5 linked regions of the Oryzias latipes genome follow. The main gene of each other region encodes a partner of the protein of the gene in region 3 in a complex. Links are inferred from orthologs where the notes say so. Each region holds a gene or a part of one and is shown on either strand. Other genes may lie near its edges.

Region 1 (3,512 bases), on a different chromosome or scaffold from region 3:
GCAGGCGCCGTAACCTGTTTTCAATCTCTGCTTGGCGGCTGCTGTTGAGAAGTGTACGTTGTTTAACTTGAGCATCAAGGCCGTCTGTGCATGAACCACCGGGCAGAGGAGGCTGCGGCGCTGTGGTGCAAGGCGAAAAGCCCTGATGGCTGCTACCCGGTCTCTCTCTGTCAGAACCCTGAAGCTGTCTGAAAGGTGCATGTGAACCAGATTCCTCCAAATTTAACTGTTCAGAGGAGTTTGAGTTGTCGTAGGTAAGAGGGGAAAGTGCAGCAGAATGAAGCACTGGTGATTCAAAATTTTCTCCATCTGTGTTTTGAGAAACCTCTGTGGAATGCTTCTGTTTGAGGGTTCCTTTCACAGGAGTATGCCCTGATATGGTTTCCGACTCCAGCGGCATGTTCTGGGACTGGGAGTCCGTGGCAGCAGCAGCGGGCTTATCACCATTCACTGCAACCACACAGCTAGAGCCTGACACAGTGGCAAGTTTCTTGGCCAGACCATTGACAGGTGCCATGGGCTGGCCACTTCCGTTGGTGCTGCCACTCATGAGGCTTTTTAACTGTCCACCAGAGAGCTCGATTGCCTGCCTCTTCCTCAAGATGAAGTCTCCCCCACCGTTGAGCAGGGAGGTGGGCAGTATTCTGTGGTTTTTCAACACGGACTGTTTAAGAATGACTCCTTGCAGCTTGATTGACTCCTTAGTTGCAGAGACGGGTGGCACATCAGAGCATAAATAGGAAGCCACCAGTGGCTGGAGTTTTCCCAGGGCAGAGGCCTGAGACACAGAGTCTGCTTGAGGCTGCTGCTGCTGTTCCTGATCACCACCACAAAAGTCGAGGGGGCACTCTTCAGAAGTGACCTTGCACTTAGCGGGGCCGCTGCTGTGGATGAGGATGTTGCTGGCGTTACTGTTGTTCTCTCCACTGGCTCGCGAGAGGCTTGAGGATGGGGCAGCCAGTTTGAAGCGGATGTGGTGAGCTTCAGCTGGGGCGTCGGTGAGAGCGGGCGCCATCGCAGCCATGCAGTGCAGAGGGACGGGCACCGCGGCCTGCTCCACTCCACCCGCTTACTGCCCCACCTGAGGACAGCCTGGGAAAAGACGTGGAGGAAAACAGAGTGACAGAAAAAAAGAGTCAATCAAAAAAGTTGAAATATTTCTGTAGTAACATAAAATTCCAAGTTCTTACCCATTATAATACAATTAGAGTAAAAATACTGATATTTATGTGCCAAAGGTAAATAAAAGATACCAAAACTGTCAACCACACTAAACTATAAGGCCATTAAGTGAGACTAAAGAGTCAGAGTTAAGACCCGTACACACCGGGACGAATATTCGCCAGGCGTTATTCGCCAGCGTTTTTCGCCACGTTTTTTGTGTTCACACCCAGGCGATTTTCGCTGACGATGAGTGGAGTGAACATGCAATTTCATTCCCTGACATTAGATGGCGCTTAATGTAAAACAGAAATACTCCTGTACACAAGGTGGCGCTGCGCAACTTTACGCTTCTTAAAGTCGCTTTTCACTCAGAAGAAGAGAGCAAGTATTTACACGCTTGTCAGAATCAAACAAAGAAAACATGAATATTTCAAGCACCAGTAGCTCCAACTGGTACTTGGTTCGGGGATGTTTTAGAATGTCCGTCATTATTGCTTCGCGGCTGTGTAGACGCTACTTGGCGTCTATCTTCTTCGCTGGTATGTGTGCTCAGCAAGGCAGTTTTGTGTTTGAGCGCCCCCAAGTTGTGTTTTACTGTAATTTCAGAAGCTCCAGACACATGAGCAAAAGCGCCGTTCTCATTGGTCGAGTAGATTTCGACGCGACGAAAAAAAAAAACGAACCCGAGGCGTTTTTTTTTTTGACGCTTTAACGCCTGGCGTTTTTTCGCGTCGGTGTGCACACTCTCATTGGGGCCCTTTGTTTAGTCACGAGGCGTTAAACGTCGGCGAAAATCGCCGGCGAAATTCGTCCCGGTGTGAACAGGCCTTTAAGTTCAGTAAGTCAGACTTGCATTCACAGTAACTGTAGCACTTGTTTATAGCATGCTAAATGTTAGCCATGGTAGAAGCGTTAGCATATTCATGATACCTGTAACTCTCAACCTTGTTTGCAACATAAAAAAGACTAATAAAGCTAAAACAAATGTTACTGTGACTACACTAAATCCCAACCTTTTTAACTGAAACATGATTAAAAAAAAATAGTAAGGCAAAGCTACACAATAGCCATGTTAGCGTATTCACAATAACACAACCAGAATGTATCTATATGTAAAGCGCTTCAGATTGTAAAGTACATTGTTGTTTTTTTTAAACGAAGGCCTTTAAGTTCGCCTTACAGTGTGGAAAATACTTTATTGAAATGTGCTGACTATTTTAACAAATTAGAACAAAAACATTTTTTAAAAGCTAAATCAAAATAATCAAATATGCTTTACAATACATTTTTTACAAATACATTTTGTCACAAAACAATACAAATAAAGAGTGATCATATACAACATAAGACCATAAAAGTGGCATAACAGGTTCTGTGACACACTAAGACTTAGTGGAAAATCACTACAACTGATACGAGTAGAAGAAATGTCAATATTCAATGTCATGATACACAATTTAAACTGCAGTCGATTCATGATCACAAAAGTTTTGGGAGAAAATGCAATTGAAATTTTGAATGTAAATGAAAGTCACTGCAATGTTTTCTGCATTCTGGCTGACAAAAATACATTTAAACAACTCAAGATGAAAAAATATGTCTTTTGTTTACTACATTATTTTTCCCAAATGTCTGAGTGAAGAAGTCAACTTTCCAACAAAGCCATGGAAATGATCTGCTCTGACCTTGTGGAAGAGAATGCTTCAGATAGTTTGAATAACAGCACAAAGCGAGCTGAATTTCAGGTGAATAAATAATTCCCATTACACCCAAACAACTATTTAAAGAAAAAAAAACAAGCATTTATTTTCATTTTTTTGACAGAGCCCCTCCTAAAAGAGAAAGCATCTAAGGGAAAAAGGGATTGGCAGCACATATCTGATGAGAACAACAGAAGCCAATGCAAACAGTCCAAACCCTACTGCCCTACATGTGCTTTGTCAAGTCAGTATGCAGCACAGCACATGATGTCATTTTAACAGGTTTCCAGTATCATTTACAGAGCGGCTTAAACATGAAATACTGTCAAATAAAAATAAAAAAACTCAAAAATGATTTTCAAAGGAAAACAGACTGCATTTACGTAGTTTTGGTGATTAACATGCGTTTGACTAGAATGAAAGCCTGTGAGAAACTTTGAAAAAGCCTCCCTTCAAACAGATAAGAGATGCGCCTCCGCGCATCTTCTGCAGGATCGGATGAATGTGAGCTCCGTTTTTCACCGCAGTTTCTAGTCAGCGCGCACTACGCCATGTTGGTATTTCCGAAGCAGATTATGCAATGCAATCCATCTGCCTAAAACCACCCATTCCGCTCGCAACACAAAACGAATTCACGCAACAGGAGCG
Region 2 (4,065 bases), on a different chromosome or scaffold from region 3:
ATTGCACAGCTTGATATCGCAATAATGATACATTTGTGACTTATTGTGCAGGCCTAATTTACATCATGCTGTCTGCATTCTGACTTTCTTCTAATGAGAGTGGATATAAAAAAGGAGTGTTTTCTACAAAAGAAGCACCCCTCAGATTTGTGACAAATGTAGAGTTGGCCTGTGCTTTCAACTGGAATAAAACTGCCTCAAAGTCTGCCATATGATCAAAAAATGTCCCTTCTATGTTTGCAGAAGCTGTAGAAAAATAAAATACAATCGTCCAGACAAACAAAACTGCTTGTGCTACTTCAAACGAGTTAACAATAATTTCAAAACATTTAGATCAGTTAATCTAGGTTTTTTATAAGAAAAATAGTCATTACAGTTATTACAATTTGAGTAAATTTGGAAGTTAAATATGTACTGAATAAAGAGGCAAAAGACTTCACTCTAAAGTTTTGAGACAATTTATTGTTAATTAAAATAAGGCTGGGGAGGCCAATTACAATAAGCTTTGTGTTGACTTTAGTTCAAGGTTTATCAGTTCTGTCGGTGATTAGAGTGAAAATACTAGGAATAAATGTGTTGCATGATTAAAATTCTCTATACTGGAAACAGTATGGTAGATGCTGATTGTCGATGATTTGTGACTTACCTAAAATCATATCTATTTTATGTGTTCTTGTCAAATTTACCATCTCAATTTTATTTAGCATCTACTTGAAAACAAAAACATGTTTTCATAACTGGAAATAAATTCAGGTGTCAAAGGATTAGGGAATCATCAATAGAGGCCTCTTTAAGAAGTAGAAATAGCACCTCAGCTAAAAAACGGCTGGTTTCTTCTAACAATAAAGAAAGTGTTGGAAATACCATTTCTTGATCCTTTCATTTGTAAAGCCCTTCCATTCTGCTGCTCTCATTTGCCAGCCTGTATAAAGTGTTCTCACCTGTCAAGTCTTCTGCACTGGAAGTGAATGGAGGACAGCAGCAATAACACTCCAGTATTATCAGGCTCCTGCCTCCACAGCTGCATGCAGTGGCGCTCGGCCGCCTCAAAATCTCCTGACTGATACTCCCGGTGTGCAAGCTCAGCCAACCCTTGGAAGGAAAGCATACGTTTTGTTGGTTCTGGACAACCAACACAGGCCAAGGAGGGGGGAAACGACATGTTAGAGGTGATGAAAGAAAATAAAGACGACAAATGAAAAAACAGGAAGAAATAAAAATAGAAGCAAACATGACAATGTTTGTATTAAAATAAATGCCTGACAAATGTAACTTCAAAATGTGATAATGGGTAAAAATGATGACGTCACAAGAGGGAACATAAGGGGGACACTTCACAACTTTTATACAAACTATAAGCATCTGTACATATAAATTAATTACAATTTAATGTATATAAAAAATGCACACTGACGCTTTTTTCCAACTAAGGAAACGCATAATTTATATGTCAGACTAGCTTTTCCAAAATGCAGAGTAAACGAAAACGTTATTAAGTCTATTCGTCATCAAACAGGTGCATCTTGATAGAGAACAGGGAGATTGTGGCTCCACCTACTGTAGCATCTACGTCACTGCTACAAGCTTTTTCCAACAGCATTTTTATCATCTGCTGCTGCTAATTCACGATTGAATTTTAATCTTAAATTTCTTTACATATCATCCATTATAAGAAAAATGCTACACGAACAAGTTAAAAACACGATTTTCATCGAAGTGGGTCTTTATTGTGGGGGTGGGGTGTGTGGAAAAAAACTGCACCACAACGCACGCAAAATCTGCTAATAATCGCGTTAAAGTTAGTTTATCGTTAAAACTGAGCTTGTTCGTCATTTTCTAATTTTGAAAAACATATATCCCTAACATTCGCCGTCCCTCCCAAAAAAAAATGAATTAAAAAATAAGATATCTTTGAAGGCATTTTAGTAGGACACTTCATTTCAGCGCCCTTTATTGCAAACCGAAACGCCCCTTAGCTGGCGGCCATTTTCTCAGACAAAAACCACGAGATAAATGTTCAGTTTAGGATTTAAAAAAATAAAATGTATGAACATAGTGACGCCCAAGGAGGAAAAATGTTGCAGCGCCAAAGATTTAATCGTTTCCTACCCATTTAAACGTCACATCTACAAATACCAACGCTAGCTCGTCTTGACTTAATACTGTTTAGGTTAAGACGCCAAATGAAGGAATATTCGGTACAAATTGGCGAAAAATATAATAAAATAGCCTTATTATAATATATCTATTAATACATATAAATTGGTACCGTGGTGTTAGAAGAGCGGCGCTACTGGTTTACATACTAGCATCCTCATTTACCTTATTGCTGTGGATTACCAAAAGGGTCATTGTTAGATTAAAATTTACTTTTAAAAACTATTTTAAATCGTTGCTTCTTTCTAAAGGAGGTGCTTTTATTTTTTTGAGCCACTAACCTGTACTGTCTGCCACGTTTCCCACAGAACTCGCCATCTCCCCAGCAGTCTTCGTTTCTTGCACGGCGGTCGTCAATGTGTCGTCTGGGAGCTCACAGCTTCAGAGAAAAATAGATGTATTTCTTATAACTAACTGTGGTCTTTCTGAGACGAAAACTGAAAGCACGTTGTTGTCTGGCTAGGTAGACCGGGTTATAGTTACCTACTAATCTCGTATTCAGAATAAATTTCCTAAAGCCCTACCTTAAAATGCCGCTGTTTGGGTATATTTACACAGATAATGTAGTTACTGCACCTACATATGACATAAAAAATATACCGCTACCGTTCACGATATTCTATCTGCACAACAAAGCAGCTAGTGAACGTAAAATGGCGAATTGGGTGGAACTCGTTTTTGTGATCAACTAGATCCTGACACCGGCATTGATTGAAAATAATAGTTGGGCATTAATACATGTGACTATAAACCCAATATACATTATTATTTTTATTGTATTAAGAAGTTATACATATACATATATATAACCTGATGTAAAATTATACACTTAAGGTAAAACCACGCGGAAGAATACAATGGTGCAGTGAGACTCAAACGGTAAAAGGAAGCAGCACTGCTCGGAGGTATCTGAAAGAGTCACGTGTCAGCTGTGCTGCGAGGAAGTGGAAGGTGCGCTGGTCTAGTAACAAACACATCAACATTACATAACCGTGGGTTGTTTGATTTCTTTTTATTTTCTTTTAGTTCTTCTTGTAGTTTTATTTATCTTTTTATTTTATTTTAGTTCTTCTTGTAGTTTTTATATATATAGACACACACAAAAAACATATTCAAATACACACAAAAGAAGTTCAGATAAGATTTGTAATTCCAGGGACATTTAACAGGTGTTAGCTTTTATTTTATTTTTAACTGCAAAGGGTATTTTCTTAATGTGTAAAGCAAGCATTAAATGTACAATCTACTGTTAAATATCTTTCCACATAAATACTGTTTACTAATCCTTACTAGTTACATATATTTTGTCAACTGATTTTTTTTTAAACTGTAGCCTGATGGATAGAGTTCTGGTTAAATCAACATCAATTGCTATGTGAAGGAAGTTGCCAACAGGCTCAGTTTACATTGAACATCACTGACAGGATGTGTTTGCACCAGAATAACTATTCTTCTAATCTTCAAGTCCCGAGCTTAAACAACTTTATTTCTATTTCTTTTTAAAATATTTCTAGGACTTGCAGTATGTTTATGGTTTTTTTCAACCAAGCAATTTTCCTGCAAGATTAATCGACATCTTCTAACACATCTTATTTTTTGCCAATATTTAATGTTTTTCCTTAATATGTTTTGCCAACATTGATATCCAAACATAAACCCTTGTTTTTCTTTTCTTAATTATGTTTAAATTAATTAGTTTTTGTTTTAACCAAATGTTTTTTAACCCTGTTTTTGCAAACAGCAAATGTACATTTAAGATAAAAAAACAAACAAACTCCTGTTTCTGACATATTAAAAATGTTGCTGGTGTGCTGATGCTGTGATCTGTCATAAATTTGCAAATAAACCAGTTTACTGCAAATTTTAAAATCTACTGTTTACCCTTTTTTCTCTACTGTTTTAATCTAT
Region 3 (4,267 bases):
AGCCCCTCACAACCCCAACCTAACATTACCAGTGCAAAAAAATAAAATAATAGATAGAAGGCAATAGTGGAGCTATCCAGCTGTAGTTTTGAGCCAGATGTCAGCTCAGACGAAGAAAATGAAGGCGAACTGTAATTTACTGAATACAGGTCAGTTTTTTTATTTGCAAGGTTTAGCCAGGGGTACAACTCATGTGATTTTTTTTTAAATAAAGAGGTTCATACATTTGTCATTGTCCCACTAAAAACATCCAGAGGGAACTGTAGGTGTGTGTATCACTATTTGCTATTGACTGCAATGCAGAAGAAGAAGCACCACTCAGTCTCACGCTGGGCTTGGTGGAATAGTTCCAAAGGACACGGAGGATGAAGAATTCAATGAATTTAGTGAACTGAAATAGAACATAAAGAGCATAGTCGATTTATTATGTTCTTTATGTTGTGGTTGTTTTAAAATTCTTCACATATTGCACTGATATACAAAAATCCTCCCATGTTTCATGAATATAAATATCTATCAATGAGTTATTTTGGTGAAACGTGCATATATTCAGTCTATTATTTTCTAATCTGTATGATTTGCCTTTCAAGATGAAATATCCGTTACTGGCCAGCATTTTGTTAAATTTCTCCTAAAAGTGCAACATATATGTTTTTGTCTTCTTCGTTATGCCCCCATACCCCTTTTATGCATCTGCGACTTATAATTCAGAGCACTTTATAGGGCAGAAAAAAATGGTACATGGATCTAGTCGTCTGCATCAGAATGCAGCAGACCCCGCCCAGTGTATTTTCTATATCACAAATAAGCTCTTTTTCAAACTGCATTTTTTTCATCTGCTCTTGATTCACAACAATATTAATGAAGAAATATTCAGAAATGCAATTTTAATATTCATTTTCTTTATATTGGTCTTCCATCTTAAAAAAAATACCATTAGGACATGTTGAAATCACCAGAAACATTTTCTACCAGAGTGGGTCTTTGAATTCAATGCTGGCCAAAATAATTCCACTGTAAATTACCTAAATAAATAAATAAATAACTGCAGGTTGCACGTGCTGCAACATGGGGCTGCATAAAGAGGAAATGTAAAAATGAGTAGTATTTATGTGGCCAATAGCTGGAGAGCCTTGATCAAAACTGAAGAAGAGGACATCTGTGTCTAAATCTGAAAATACCGACTCCTGAGGTGATTCATAGCTGCAGCATCGTCGTCTACATGTATGATTATCCACAGGAAAGGAATCTCCTGGTAAGGTAACAACATGATAAGCGACATTAGGATTGTCTGATGCTCAATCACCGTAAAGTCATATCGCTACGGATAAACAGCGGAAGGATTTATGTAAAAGAAAAAACAACTAAACGATCCCTACAAGGCGTTAAGCGCCGGTCTAATACCGATATTCCAAGTCATTCTGCAATCACATAGGCCTTGGCGGGTCTACTCGGCGGTTCGGCGAGGGGGGGCAACAGCAATCCCGCCTCTCCATTTGCAGCGCAATCACACATCACAAACAACAGGAGGGCTTTAGAAAGACGGCAACAAGCTATAAAAATGGATAAATCTTACTCTGGTCCGGGAATGACTCGGTTCGCCATAGCCGGTGGAGTCTGGAGTAGCTTGCTTTCAGTGCAACCTACAAACCGGATGTCTTCACACCACCCGACCCACGTGTTTTCTGCTCACCCAATTCACGTATAGACACAATAGAAGACAATAGAAAGGGCTGTTGTGGTTTTCTAACGTTTCATGTATGTTTTTCATATGCAAGCACAGAAGCGTGTTGACTTATATAAACTTCAAAACGATACACATTATTTAATATGTGTTTTATTTTATTTTTTGGACCGGGGGCAACCGGTGTGACATCTTCGGAAACAACCATGCCCTGTGGCAGGAAATATATTAATGCTACATTATTAAAAGGTGATTTACTTTAAATATCAGATTAGCTTGTTTTATTTAAAAAATAAAATAAAAAACCCTCCAGTCTACAACTCTATTGTACTTATAGCGCACTTCAACTATTTAAAGCAGTCGCCATCTTAAAATACAAATATCTAAAATAAAAAAAATCACAATGTTTGGCAATTATTACATTATACTGCTGATGACCACTTGATCCGTTAAGGACAGTTTATTGTCCGGTGTTTTATAATCAGAGGGCGTAGCGCGAAGAAAGCACACTGACGTCACGTGCTTTCGACAAACATGAATGGTGGAATGGTTGCCATGGGGGCGGGAGTTAACACTGGATTGGCCAAGTAGCCTGTCACTCACCAAGGCTCGCTGTGGCCTCGCGCTAGGCCTACTTCTCCGTACTTTTCCTACTATGAAAAGAGCGGCATGGAGACGCGAATCAACAAACTTGTCCAACTGAGAAACCACCTAGAGACTTGAAGCAACAGCCCCAACGCGAAGGGACACTGCATATATCTAACTAACCGCCCGAATGCAGCTTGTGAATATGTCAACAGACATTTCTGAAGCTACTTCGTCACGTTTGTTTTGAAGTCCAGAAAGCCAACGTGCGGCATCAGTCAAACCGTTGGGAAGCACTCACCGAGCGGGCCTTGTCACCATATGCAGCCTAGAAATTACGGTGTGGGCAAAATTTTAGATTTTTACCTGCTTTCCAGTCAGTCTTTGACGGGTCGGGTGAAAAATATGCAATATAACCCGTCAAAAGCGCAGGTACCGCTGCCTCCGCCTGGCTGCTCCGTACCACGCAGTTGAATTTCTCTCCCTTGCATGCTCTACCGGCGCGGGCAAAGTAGCGCTACGATGCGCATGCGCGACAGACCGGCCTACGCTGTCATGTTTTCAATGAGAACCTTTCTGTTGTCATTCCATTCCTAAAAAACATGCTTTGTTTATCATTTTGAATGTTTACCAAGAAAAGATATAACTAAAGAAAATACCTATCTTTAAGGATGAAATAAATAATACGTACTATAAAAGTTAGGATTAATCAGTCATATTTTTTTTGCAAATCAGTTGTAAATTAATTAAAATAAAGTAAATACGTATATTTATATAGCAAATTAACTTGTGTTGACATTTTTTAACAAGAGAATAACAAAAAAATTAAATATTTACACTGTGCTGGAAAAAAAAGACAGTCTCATGCCAGAAATATATGTATTCATTATAAAAAATTGTGCACCATTATTACAATACTACATCAAAGTTGTTTACGATGTGATTGCTGCAAGACAATAACTATTGGAAATGACAGTGAAACTGTTCTGTTTACTGAAAATGGCAGTACTCCTTGAATCCTCACACATTATGGTAATGTTCCTCTGTGCTTCCTTTCTGGCTTGAAGAGAAAATGCAGTTGTATATTACCAGAACTATATTTGTGAGGAGATCAGTCTGCTAGACCCCCTGGATTCCCATCAGAACAGTTTTGGTCTGAATTTATGGTGGCTGGGAGGCTTATTCTAAGGAATTGGAAAGGTTTCCACAAGCCTCAATACAAGGATTGGATTGAACTCATGACAGAGACAAGTCTAATCATCGCTAAGATAATCAACGTACAGGTCAAAACAGGCTGAATATGGAGTCGTTTTATGTCATTTATTAGATCACATGACCTGGCTTCCACTCCATAATCTGAAAAATGCTATGTTATTTTTCTCTTGTTGCTTGAAGTGGTTACACTGGTAATTTTTGTGCTGTTGGTGTAAAAAAACAACCAATAAAAGACAAACCATATCCTTTAAATATTTCTACAATTTCTATTTCCCCCCCAAAATAGTTGTAGTTTCCTGAATGTCTTTCCTTTCTCTATTCTTGTCTCAAATCAAAGATTGTTTTTTCTGCATTGTTAGTTTTTTCCTTCAAGGTATTATAGTGTAGATTATGCATACATTTGATAGTAGAGTTTGTGGACTTTCCATTTTCAGCTAATAAATGTTCTACTAATGTGATGGGGCTACAGGCAGACGTTGGAACGTATGAACACATATAGAGCAAAGATTTTGCTTTTTTTTTAAGTGCAGTTTACATTAATTTCTCTTCTGGAATTTTTACTGAAAATCATGTTTTGAAAAATGTAGCCCAATAATCTTTTTGCTGTAGTTTTGGTTACCCTATAAATAAATTGACGGTCCTCCTTCTACAATCCCAATAGCAGTAATAACTAACCATGATTCCATACATTACAGTTGAAGAAACCTTTTATTTATGAATGACTGTCATGTTCAGATGGTAAACACAAAAAAGGCACACATGCACACACAACTCAAGAAGTGG
Region 4 (4,244 bases), on a different chromosome or scaffold from region 3:
ACCTCAGAATGAAGCCAAAGTTTCTCACCAAGAACTCGGCTAGCTTCGGAGCGCCCTCCGTCCTGACTCTGCGTCTCTCCACGACTGTAGCTACTGAGCTGAGACAACAAAGCCTCTGGAGATGGACCAGAAGAAGTCTTCCTCATCTGCGCTCGGAGGGTCATGGCGCTCCTACGAGCGTGCTCCGCACAGAATGTTACTCTACCAAAAAAAAAAAAAATGTATAAATTAGGCTAATAGCAGCAAACAGACTGTTTATTACATGATTTTCTTATTGCCCTGTGACTGAGCTTCCACAGGGCAGAAATACAACTGCTGTTTCATTCTTTTGCCAGCTGATGTAAATGACCTTCCACCCACCCATCTTTCCTCTCGGCCTTTGGCGCAGCATTGGGGCAGCGCTTGCCATTCTTGGCAGAGACGTAGCTACACTGTTTGTATGGGGCGTTCTTGTCCTCCAGAATGTGTTTCATACAGAACTCCAGACCCTCCAAGCGAGGCTGTGAACATGGTCGCTGGGTGAAGGAGCAGACCTGGGGCTCCTGGGGTCGGCTTGCTTGGGTTGTCCGGTTACGACTTGAGGGTAAAACGTGAATTCGTATTCTGTTCATTTCAAGTCTGGGAAAATAAAGTAAATACTTAAACTAAGCATATTTCTCTACTACTTTAGAAATCACTTAAGAAACAAATAATCCAGTAGTATTCTTAAACCACAGAAAATAATAAATTTAAAGGTTTATTGCATTAAAATTTTACATAAATATCTTCTGAATCTTTGGAACATACACATCTTTTACCTCTTACTCTAGACACTTTGATAATTTGCATTTTAAATCTGAACCACAAACTTTGGCAGATCTTACATCAACAAGTTCTGCTTTTCATAATTCTTTGGTTCTGTGATGCTGAAAATAATAAATTTCTACTGAAAAAAATAACAGTTTAAAATTAAGAAGAAAACAAAAGCCTCTTCATGCCTAACCCTATTATCATTCAGAATGTTTTTTCCATTGAAAATGATGCTGATGCAAAAATAGTGACATACAGCATGAAGAGGTCAAAGACTAGATTTAGCCCAGAATAAGTATTACTAAAAAGGCTAAGATATCATACATACATACACTTAACCCTTAGAAAGAAGTCAGTGGTCTTTTCTGTGTCAAGACAAAAGAAATGTATTTTATTGAAAAATGAACCAAAATCTTAAGAATAAAAAGCAAAACATTACTTTAAGGGACCTATATCGTGCTATTTTTAAGGCCTTTCAGAGTAAACAATAAGCATTTAAATGATACGTTACCTTTGGCACAAAAAAAAATGATTTTTTTAAACGAAATATTAGGTATTTTTGCAGCTCATTTTCCTACCCATAAGTAACCCCCTTTTGCTCCATATGAGTGCCCCCCAATTCATGGCATTGACCTAGAGTGCGTTTCTCCCACGAAAACAAACAAGATCCAAACTTTTGCCTCACTTTGTTACATCACAATGTGAGAACCAGCTTGTTTTTGTGGATTGGGAGGGGCTGGTGCTCAGACAGCAGGTTTTAGGAGGAATACTCAGAGATCAGTCAATGGGTCAAAATACCGCCTTGTGGTTATTTTTTATAAGGAATGAACATTTTACTACACCTAAAAGCTCAAAAAAGTGATTTTTGAATAATATAGGCCCGTTGAAATAAAAAAAGACAAGATTTCTATAACTTTTATTTTTACAGATATGATTGCGGTATATTACATATATATTTTGGTAAATATATAGCCCAAAAAGAAGAAAGAAATTACATTTTTTCTTTACCCTTAACTATTTTTCAATAATTTGAATAAAACACGTTTATGTTAAACTGTTGTGAAAACCATAACAAGACAAAAAGGGGGATATTTAATCTTGACAAAGAAGCATCAGTAAGGCAAAATTGTCAAATCATTGCTCTCTTTCAACCACCTTTTCCCACCATGTCTTCTTTTTATTAAAATTAATTTCGTAATTCGCAAAATTCAACAAGAAACTGACTTTATGGCAACACGGACACCAAAAAAATAGTTAGATCCATTGCTTTCAAAATACAATGAAAAAATCAAAACACCTATAATCTTTTAATTGGCCAAAGTAAATCGCTAAATAACATAACATAGAAAAAAACTGATCGCTCTGTCTGAATATATGTGTATTGCTGCTCCAACATTAAACCACAGAAACTAAAAACAGGGGTAAACGTCCGACACGTTGGGTCAACCAGCTCAACAACAATAACGCAACAACAGTCACACAGAAGCTAGCCTTTTTAATTTTTTGCAGACAGTGTGTCAGTATGTATGCTTATGTTGACAAAAAATAAAATATTAATAATATAATATTAACAATAAGAAAAAATAACCCACTATAACCAAATAAGTAGACTTTACATACATGTAAATGTCGACGTAAACGTAAGTACGTCTGTTTGACTCGAACAACGCGCTGAAAGGCGCTCCAGCCCGCCTCCATCTACTGCGTCATCCTCTAGGCTAAGGAGGCGCCATCTTTGCTAGCCGGCTAAACCACATGCTATCCTTTCCTTTTAACATTTCCAGGCTATTAAATCAAATTCGAAAACATAAAACAGTGGTTTGTCTTCTACCATGTCATTATTAAAATGTCTCAGACCCAGAATAGTAGCAGAAACGCATCGCTTTTTGTGAAAAACTGCCTACCTTCCGCTGTGCAATATGCTAACTCTGCCGTTCCAACGACTTGCCTGCACTCCCTGAATCGTTGCTGGACTTTGTGTGATGTCAATAAGCCCCACCTCCTTGAAGTTGATTGGTCGAAATGTTACTCCAGGAGACGGTTCATTGGCTAGTCTAGATGTAACTCAAAAGACCACGTAACCGCCCTCTGACCGACGCAGTGAATACAATTCAGTTGAAAATGACTGATTACTCCATTAATTTTGATATTTAATATATTTATTGACTTTCAGAATAAAGCAACCACAATATATAAAAAAGATCAGTGTTCACATATACCTTTTTAACGAAAACAAATTGAATTCTAGACCTGAGAGCCAATAAAAACACCTGACATTAAAAAACATAACTTAGGATGTTGTAATTGTGATTTTTGCATTGTTAGGTTGCACACGTGTCTTGGGCTTGTTATATGGTTTTGCTATAAAACGTGTTTTAATAGCTTTCATGTATCCTTAATACTTGAATGTATTATTTCTTAGATCAAAATAAAGCATGTTTTAAATGGACGCACCAGAAATCCACACTATTTTTAACCATGAAAATGTAACACTTAATTCAACTGCATAAGCAGGAAAAAAAAAATTAAAATTCAGTGCATTCACCATTTCCCTGTTACAACCAAAAACCTTTACTGCCCAAGTAAAGACCTTTTTTCAGCACACTTTTAATTCATCAAGGGAAAACAATATCTTACATTAGTTTGGCTGGTTTGATGTACTCCAAACAGCTTTGTTTTTATAAAAACTTTTATAAAAAAAAAAAGACACCAGTTAGGAGCAGGTGGACTAAAATTCATAATAAGCTACATGTGTGAAATGTACAGGAGATACCAGATTTCTTGTCAACAAATTGAACTTTTCCACTGTTGAGCGCTTATACAAAATAGAAAACATTCATTTCTCATTATACTCAGGGTCCTGCAATGGAGGTATTTTTAACAACAATTTCATTTTACACAATTATATTATGCATGCAAAGGTTTTTGAGGAATGCACATAGCAACCACTTTAAATTATGTGCTAAAAAGTATCATCAAAAACCTTTACATTTCATGAAACAGAAATATATTGTCACGTTTTCCCCATTTATCTTGTTGACAAGTCCTTCATCATGACCATTATGGGTGGATATGTTAAACCTCTGACGAGTTCTATGCATGTCCTTAGTATGAAGTGTATTCATAGGAGAACTGAATATGGATATTTCACAACCATTTAAAACAATGACTGCAACACTTAAAAAAGACTAAATGTACAAGCTTTCCTTACTTTACATTTCCATTTTTTTTTTGGCAATTTTCCATAACAAAATGTCCAAAAAATATTCTTTTACACATACTGCAGTTTTGTTTTCATGTTAACCCAATAATGTCCATAAAATAAAACAGAACGCCCAGGGCTATCATTTCTATATGGCTCTTTAAAGAAAGAAAGAAAGAAAGAAAACTAAAAACTGAAGATGGCTTTGGAAACATGCACTCTCAAATGAGCCGATACACTTTTAGGACGTTTC
Region 5 (4,255 bases), on a different chromosome or scaffold from region 3:
CAGATATTCCATCAGAGAAACCTGAAATGCAACAGCAGCAAATTAAAGAATGTACTGAATTCAGATTTTAAATAACTTCCAAGTCTTACATGACAAGCAATGAGAGCGCCGGCGTTCCAGCCAACCAGCACGATGGGCTTGTGGGGGAAGTGACTGTGAACCTGTTGGCAAAAGTAGCAGCACATGAATAAAGCTGCCGAAGGCAGACATCAATTTTTATTAAAAGATACGTTTGTATTGCAAATACAATCCATATGGTACTTTCATTTTAACTTCACTAATATTTTTGGTTGGAAAAACTTGAATGTTTCTTATTATATAAACTTAATGTCTTTAAGATAAATCCTGTTTTTGATGAATTGCTAAGAAAGCAACCAAACATAGAAAAAAAAATACAGTAAGATTTTTTTCCACATGCCTATTAAAAACAAAAAAGCTGCACTCAAATTGATTAATTTTACAATCAATCATAAAGATCCCCTACCTCCATGACCTTTGCCCTTACAGTCCCAAGCATGTGCTCCAAACACTGAGTGATGCTAATACTGGCTCCACTGTTTACGTGAGTGTGCACTGGGATCACCTGCAACACAATCATTTGTTGTTGTTTTAGCAATTGACACCAATAATCCGAATATCACAAAGACTTCAATGTGTTTCAGACCTTTCCCAAGCAGGAGAGCTGGGACTGCCAGAACCTCATCCGCCGTGTTGTGGCAAGAGCCGGATTGGATGGGGTTGACGGGGCAATAAGGATGAGAGGAGATCCTGGAAGCTTACTCTGAAACAATCAAAAACAGACAGGGATACAGATTGTGCAATCAGAATTTGCTGAGGTAAACACAAAAGTCATACAATGCTATTGTCACACCAGGAACTGAGGTCTGAGGCTTTTACCGGTTTGTTTTGAGAGAGAACCCCGACAGCCGGATCCCATGGACGTTTCAGTAGCAGCGACAGAGCCTCTGCACTTGGAGCTCCAGTTTTTGCAGTCGGAAGTAACATTCTGTCTATCAACGATGGCAGCTTTGCATGTGTAGAAAAAAATGTATTATTAAGATGGAAATCCATCAAAAAAAAAACTTTTTTTTTGTCCAGTCACTAAGATCATACCTTGGTTTTGAGAGTCTGCAACACATCAAGGTAGGCAGCGAGCATCGGCAAGCTTAAAGATTCGATCAGAGTGGTGTGTAACCACTGTGTCAGTTTGGTGTCCCAGTTCATACTGGCGAGTGCTTGTCGAACTTTCCTGGCACACTTGTCCACAGCAATCCTTCTTAAAATGGGTTCATTGGAAGCCTAAAGGGAAAAGGGCAATACAAGTAACAAGTAATCAATTTCATTCAAAATAAATATTTTTGCAGAAATTCTCTCTTTTAATTTAATCTCACTGACTACAGAGAAAAAAAACCTATTCTCAATTTAGGTAATTTTTTAAAATCTAAAACAGGAGAAAAGCATATATTACTTTGCTGTCTAATCGTTGACTAAGTTTACAATAAATATAAACAATACACCAGCTTTTAGATTTTTTACCTCTATGTATAAAAAAGAATCATTAAGAAAAACAAATCAAAGAAAAGAGACTTTCATCAAATACATTACATCTTCATTGGCGAGACGTGCTAATCTCTCAGCTTGTAGAGCTTTCAGGACTTTATTAAACAATTTGTTTTGTGCCACCGACCATCCTGTCCTGAAATACCACAAAACATAAAGTCAAATTGAAATCACTGCAACTGATGTTCATGGTGTTGGTTTTATGTGAGTTTATTATCTTTTACTTGTTTATATGTTCCTCCCAGTCATCTGGGGGTGGGGGGCTCTCAGCAACTGTTCGAGCAAACAGAACATGTCGCTCGCACTCCTTCATCACACCAAGAGCTTTATGGTTATCATACAAAGGAACTGGGGAGGGTGTGACCGTCTCCACATCTATCAGGGAATCAGAGTCTCTGCAAAACAGAAAACATGGTATAGATGTAAAACATAAAAATAGTTGAGCAAAAAAATCCATTTGTCCTACCCAGCTGATAAAAAAAAAAAAGTCTTATTTCATTAAGCATTCAAACTCACAATGATGGCTCAGGCTGGCGACGGGGGGCAACAAAAAGCGTCCGTGTGGGGCGTGCGCTGCTGGCATCTGGGTGAGCATTCCACGGTTTGGCATAGCTGTGGTCTAGAAACACCAAATCCAGCTCTCTCTCATGAGCCGACAGCTGGAAAAGCAAGGATGTACTCATCTTGTGAGCTGATGTCTGCAACTCTTTGTCCACACGATGCATCCTCTTCCTGGGCCCTGAAGGGCCCAAGGAAAAAAAACAACAACCCTGCAGTCAGAGAAAACTGACGGGAAAAAGAAAATTTTGTTTTACTTCATACACAGAGATCTGTTATATTTACCATCTAGAAAACTTACATTCAACAAAAGTAACTTCAAATTAGGTATCAAACAGTTGTGATCACACACATTAATGCATGAAAGTTACTTATTTGTAGCTTTCGTGAAGTCAAAATCTAAAGTTAAAGAGTAAAGGCGTATTCGGCGCGGTAAGCAAAACTAGAATGCTAACATTAGCACAACTAGCTCTGACAGCCAGGCAATGACGTTATCGCCTTTTCCCCCAGATTACCTGTTCCTTTGACTATTCCATGCTGACCATTGGAGTCTGAATTTATTTTTTAATCGAAAAAAATAAATAAAAAAATAATGGAAACGGGGAATTTGTTAATAAACGAGAGTAAGCTATCACCACAATGTTACAAGCGTCAAGCCCTCACTTCCTCCTGTTGTGTGGTTTGTTGCCAAGTTTATCTCCTTATCCTTCTCTTTGGAGAGGACAAAAGAAACATCATGGCATGGCTGTATTTCAACGAAACTGGCAACCCAGCAAGTAAGGCGCGTCAGTGTGAGACTCGCAAAATACGAACTGGATCTTCGGATTTTTGATTACCAGTACGTTGAAATTAGGATTCATAATTAATAGGAGCATGTCCAATTTGAATTATGTGTAAAGTTTTTACATTTAGTATTTTTGTGTATGTCACGCAGTGTACAAGCACTAAATCAATCACGGACCCCACTGTCAAAGTACCAACTTGCTGCTTCAAAGTTTTTCAACGTCAGAATCAAATGAAGGCTTTCTGTGAAATAAAAAGAGAAAAGTGAGATTTCTGTAAAAAGGCAAGGCCCCTATCAATACAGGGATCGTTTCATATCCACAGACAAACATTTCAAGAAGACATTCCTGTCATTGTAGGGGCCTAGGTCTACTGAAGTCAAATGTTAGTTGTTGGTTAAAAAGGTTATCAACATCAATAGAAATTTGTTCAGACTTGAAGTGATGGAAAACACTAAATAGATAAAGTAGTCTGCTTTGGGTATTATGTTAGCTCCGTAAAACCTATGAAATTTCTCAAAACATGATGTCCATTCTTCTCTTTTTATATTGAGCAGCTACATTATTGACTTTTGTGATTCCTGTGCACAACACTTTTAAAAATCCAAGGTATATTAGGCTTTTTCCCCCACAGTTAAATCCACCATTTTCTTCACCGTCTTGTTTGTGTTCAAGTGACAGTAGATGATGCACCACATCACAGGGCAGTAAAATAACAACAGTCAATGGTTTTTGCAGCCGTACGAACAATGTTAACAGAACAAACTGCTTTACAACTTTAAAAATATGCAGTTTGTTTGTGTTTAAAACAATTTAGTGTTTATTCAGCCAGTCTTGAATCTTTCAATCTGCCAAGAAGACACATGATAAGCAGAACAGCTTAGCTGTTTTTACACAGCCATAACAGGATGCTCACCGTTGCTCCTTTTTTTTTTTTCCAAATGTGTGTTTTAAAAAGTTAAATGGACACCCTTTCTTTTAAAAAACTGTTATTTTGTTATATTGATATTGTTCCTCTTTGGAAGTAAAAAAAAATCACTTATCAATACCAAAAACCGCATGAGAAACTTTGACGACACTTCTGTTTTCTTTATTTTCTTGACAAGCCACTGAATAAACAAAACACATCCCGTCATGGGAGATACAACTGCCACCGTGAAAATAAAGTTTAAAATGTATAATTTTTGGGGAAAAACAGCTGTTGCAACATTGTGTTGAAACAAACAAGAATACCACTTCTGCTGGTTCAGAAAATGAAGTAAAAATCCTTTTGGTTGGTCTTTGACCTTTTTGTGTGAGTTTTAAAAGTGGGATGGGGGACATTCACTATCTTTTTTAATGATTTGTTCCAAAGT

The links.
Region 1: phf20 (region 3) and KAT8 regulatory NSL complex subunit 1 share a complex: the UniProt entries of both Homo sapiens proteins name them as parts of the NSL complex. The link is inferred for Oryzias latipes from reciprocal best matches to the Homo sapiens genes PHF20 and KANSL1.
Region 2: phf20 (region 3) and ogt share a complex: the UniProt entries of both Homo sapiens proteins name them as parts of the NSL complex. The link is inferred for Oryzias latipes from reciprocal best matches to the Homo sapiens genes PHF20 and OGT.
Region 4: phf20 (region 3) and kansl2 share a complex: the UniProt entries of both Homo sapiens proteins name them as parts of the NSL complex. The link is inferred for Oryzias latipes from reciprocal best matches to the Homo sapiens genes PHF20 and KANSL2.
Region 5: phf20 (region 3) and kansl3 share a complex: the UniProt entries of both Homo sapiens proteins name them as parts of the NSL complex. The link is inferred for Oryzias latipes from reciprocal best matches to the Homo sapiens genes PHF20 and KANSL3.

What each region holds. Positions count from the first base shown.
Region 1 is NC_019877.2:19,812,666-19,816,177, forward strand, and holds part of KAT8 regulatory NSL complex subunit 1, read right to left. Parts: intron 1,093-3,512; 5' UTR 1,025-1,092; coding exon 1-1,024. UniProt on the Homo sapiens protein: Non-catalytic component of the NSL histone acetyltransferase complex, a multiprotein complex that mediates histone H4 acetylation at 'Lys-5'- and 'Lys-8' (H4K5ac and H4K8ac) at transcription start sites and promotes transcription initiation.
Region 2 is NC_019868.2:18,366,186-18,370,250, reverse strand, and holds the start of ogt (UDP-N-acetylglucosamine--peptide N-acetylglucosaminyltransferase 110 kDa subunit), read right to left. Parts: upstream 2,802-4,065; 5' UTR 2,476-2,801; coding exon 2,439-2,475; intron 1,123-2,438; coding exon 942-1,122; intron 1-941. UniProt on the Homo sapiens protein: Catalyzes the transfer of a single N-acetylglucosamine from UDP-GlcNAc to a serine or threonine residue in cytoplasmic and nuclear proteins resulting in their modification with a beta-linked N-acetylglucosamine (O-GlcNAc).
Region 3 is NC_019863.2:26,145,578-26,149,844, reverse strand, and holds the start of phf20 (PHD finger protein 20), read right to left. Parts: upstream 2,808-4,267; 5' UTR 2,636-2,807; intron 1,686-2,635; exon of another isoform or gene 1,577-1,685; intron 1-1,576. UniProt on the Homo sapiens protein: Methyllysine-binding protein, component of the MOF histone acetyltransferase protein complex.
Region 4 is NC_019865.2:25,923,624-25,927,867, reverse strand, and holds the start of kansl2 (KAT8 regulatory NSL complex subunit 2), read right to left. Parts: upstream 2,801-4,244; 5' UTR 2,694-2,800; intron 2,649-2,693; exon of another isoform or gene 2,410-2,648; intron 619-2,409; 5' UTR 612-618; coding exon 361-611; intron 202-360; coding exon 29-201; intron 1-28. UniProt on the Homo sapiens protein: Non-catalytic component of the NSL histone acetyltransferase complex, a multiprotein complex that mediates histone H4 acetylation at 'Lys-5'- and 'Lys-8' (H4K5ac and H4K8ac) at transcription start sites and promotes transcription initiation.
Region 5 is NC_019867.2:17,071,558-17,075,812, forward strand, and holds the start of kansl3 (KAT8 regulatory NSL complex subunit 3), read right to left. Parts: upstream 2,810-4,255; 5' UTR 2,634-2,809; intron 2,347-2,633; exon of another isoform or gene 2,300-2,346; 5' UTR 2,286-2,299; coding exon 2,077-2,285; intron 1,956-2,076; coding exon 1,785-1,955; intron 1,697-1,784; coding exon 1,606-1,696; intron 1,300-1,605; coding exon 1,114-1,299; intron 1,027-1,113; coding exon 898-1,026; intron 782-897; coding exon 665-781; intron 584-664; coding exon 485-583; intron 162-484; coding exon 90-161; intron 22-89; coding exon 1-21. UniProt on the Homo sapiens protein: Non-catalytic component of the NSL histone acetyltransferase complex, a multiprotein complex that mediates histone H4 acetylation at 'Lys-5'- and 'Lys-8' (H4K5ac and H4K8ac) at transcription start sites and promotes transcription initiation.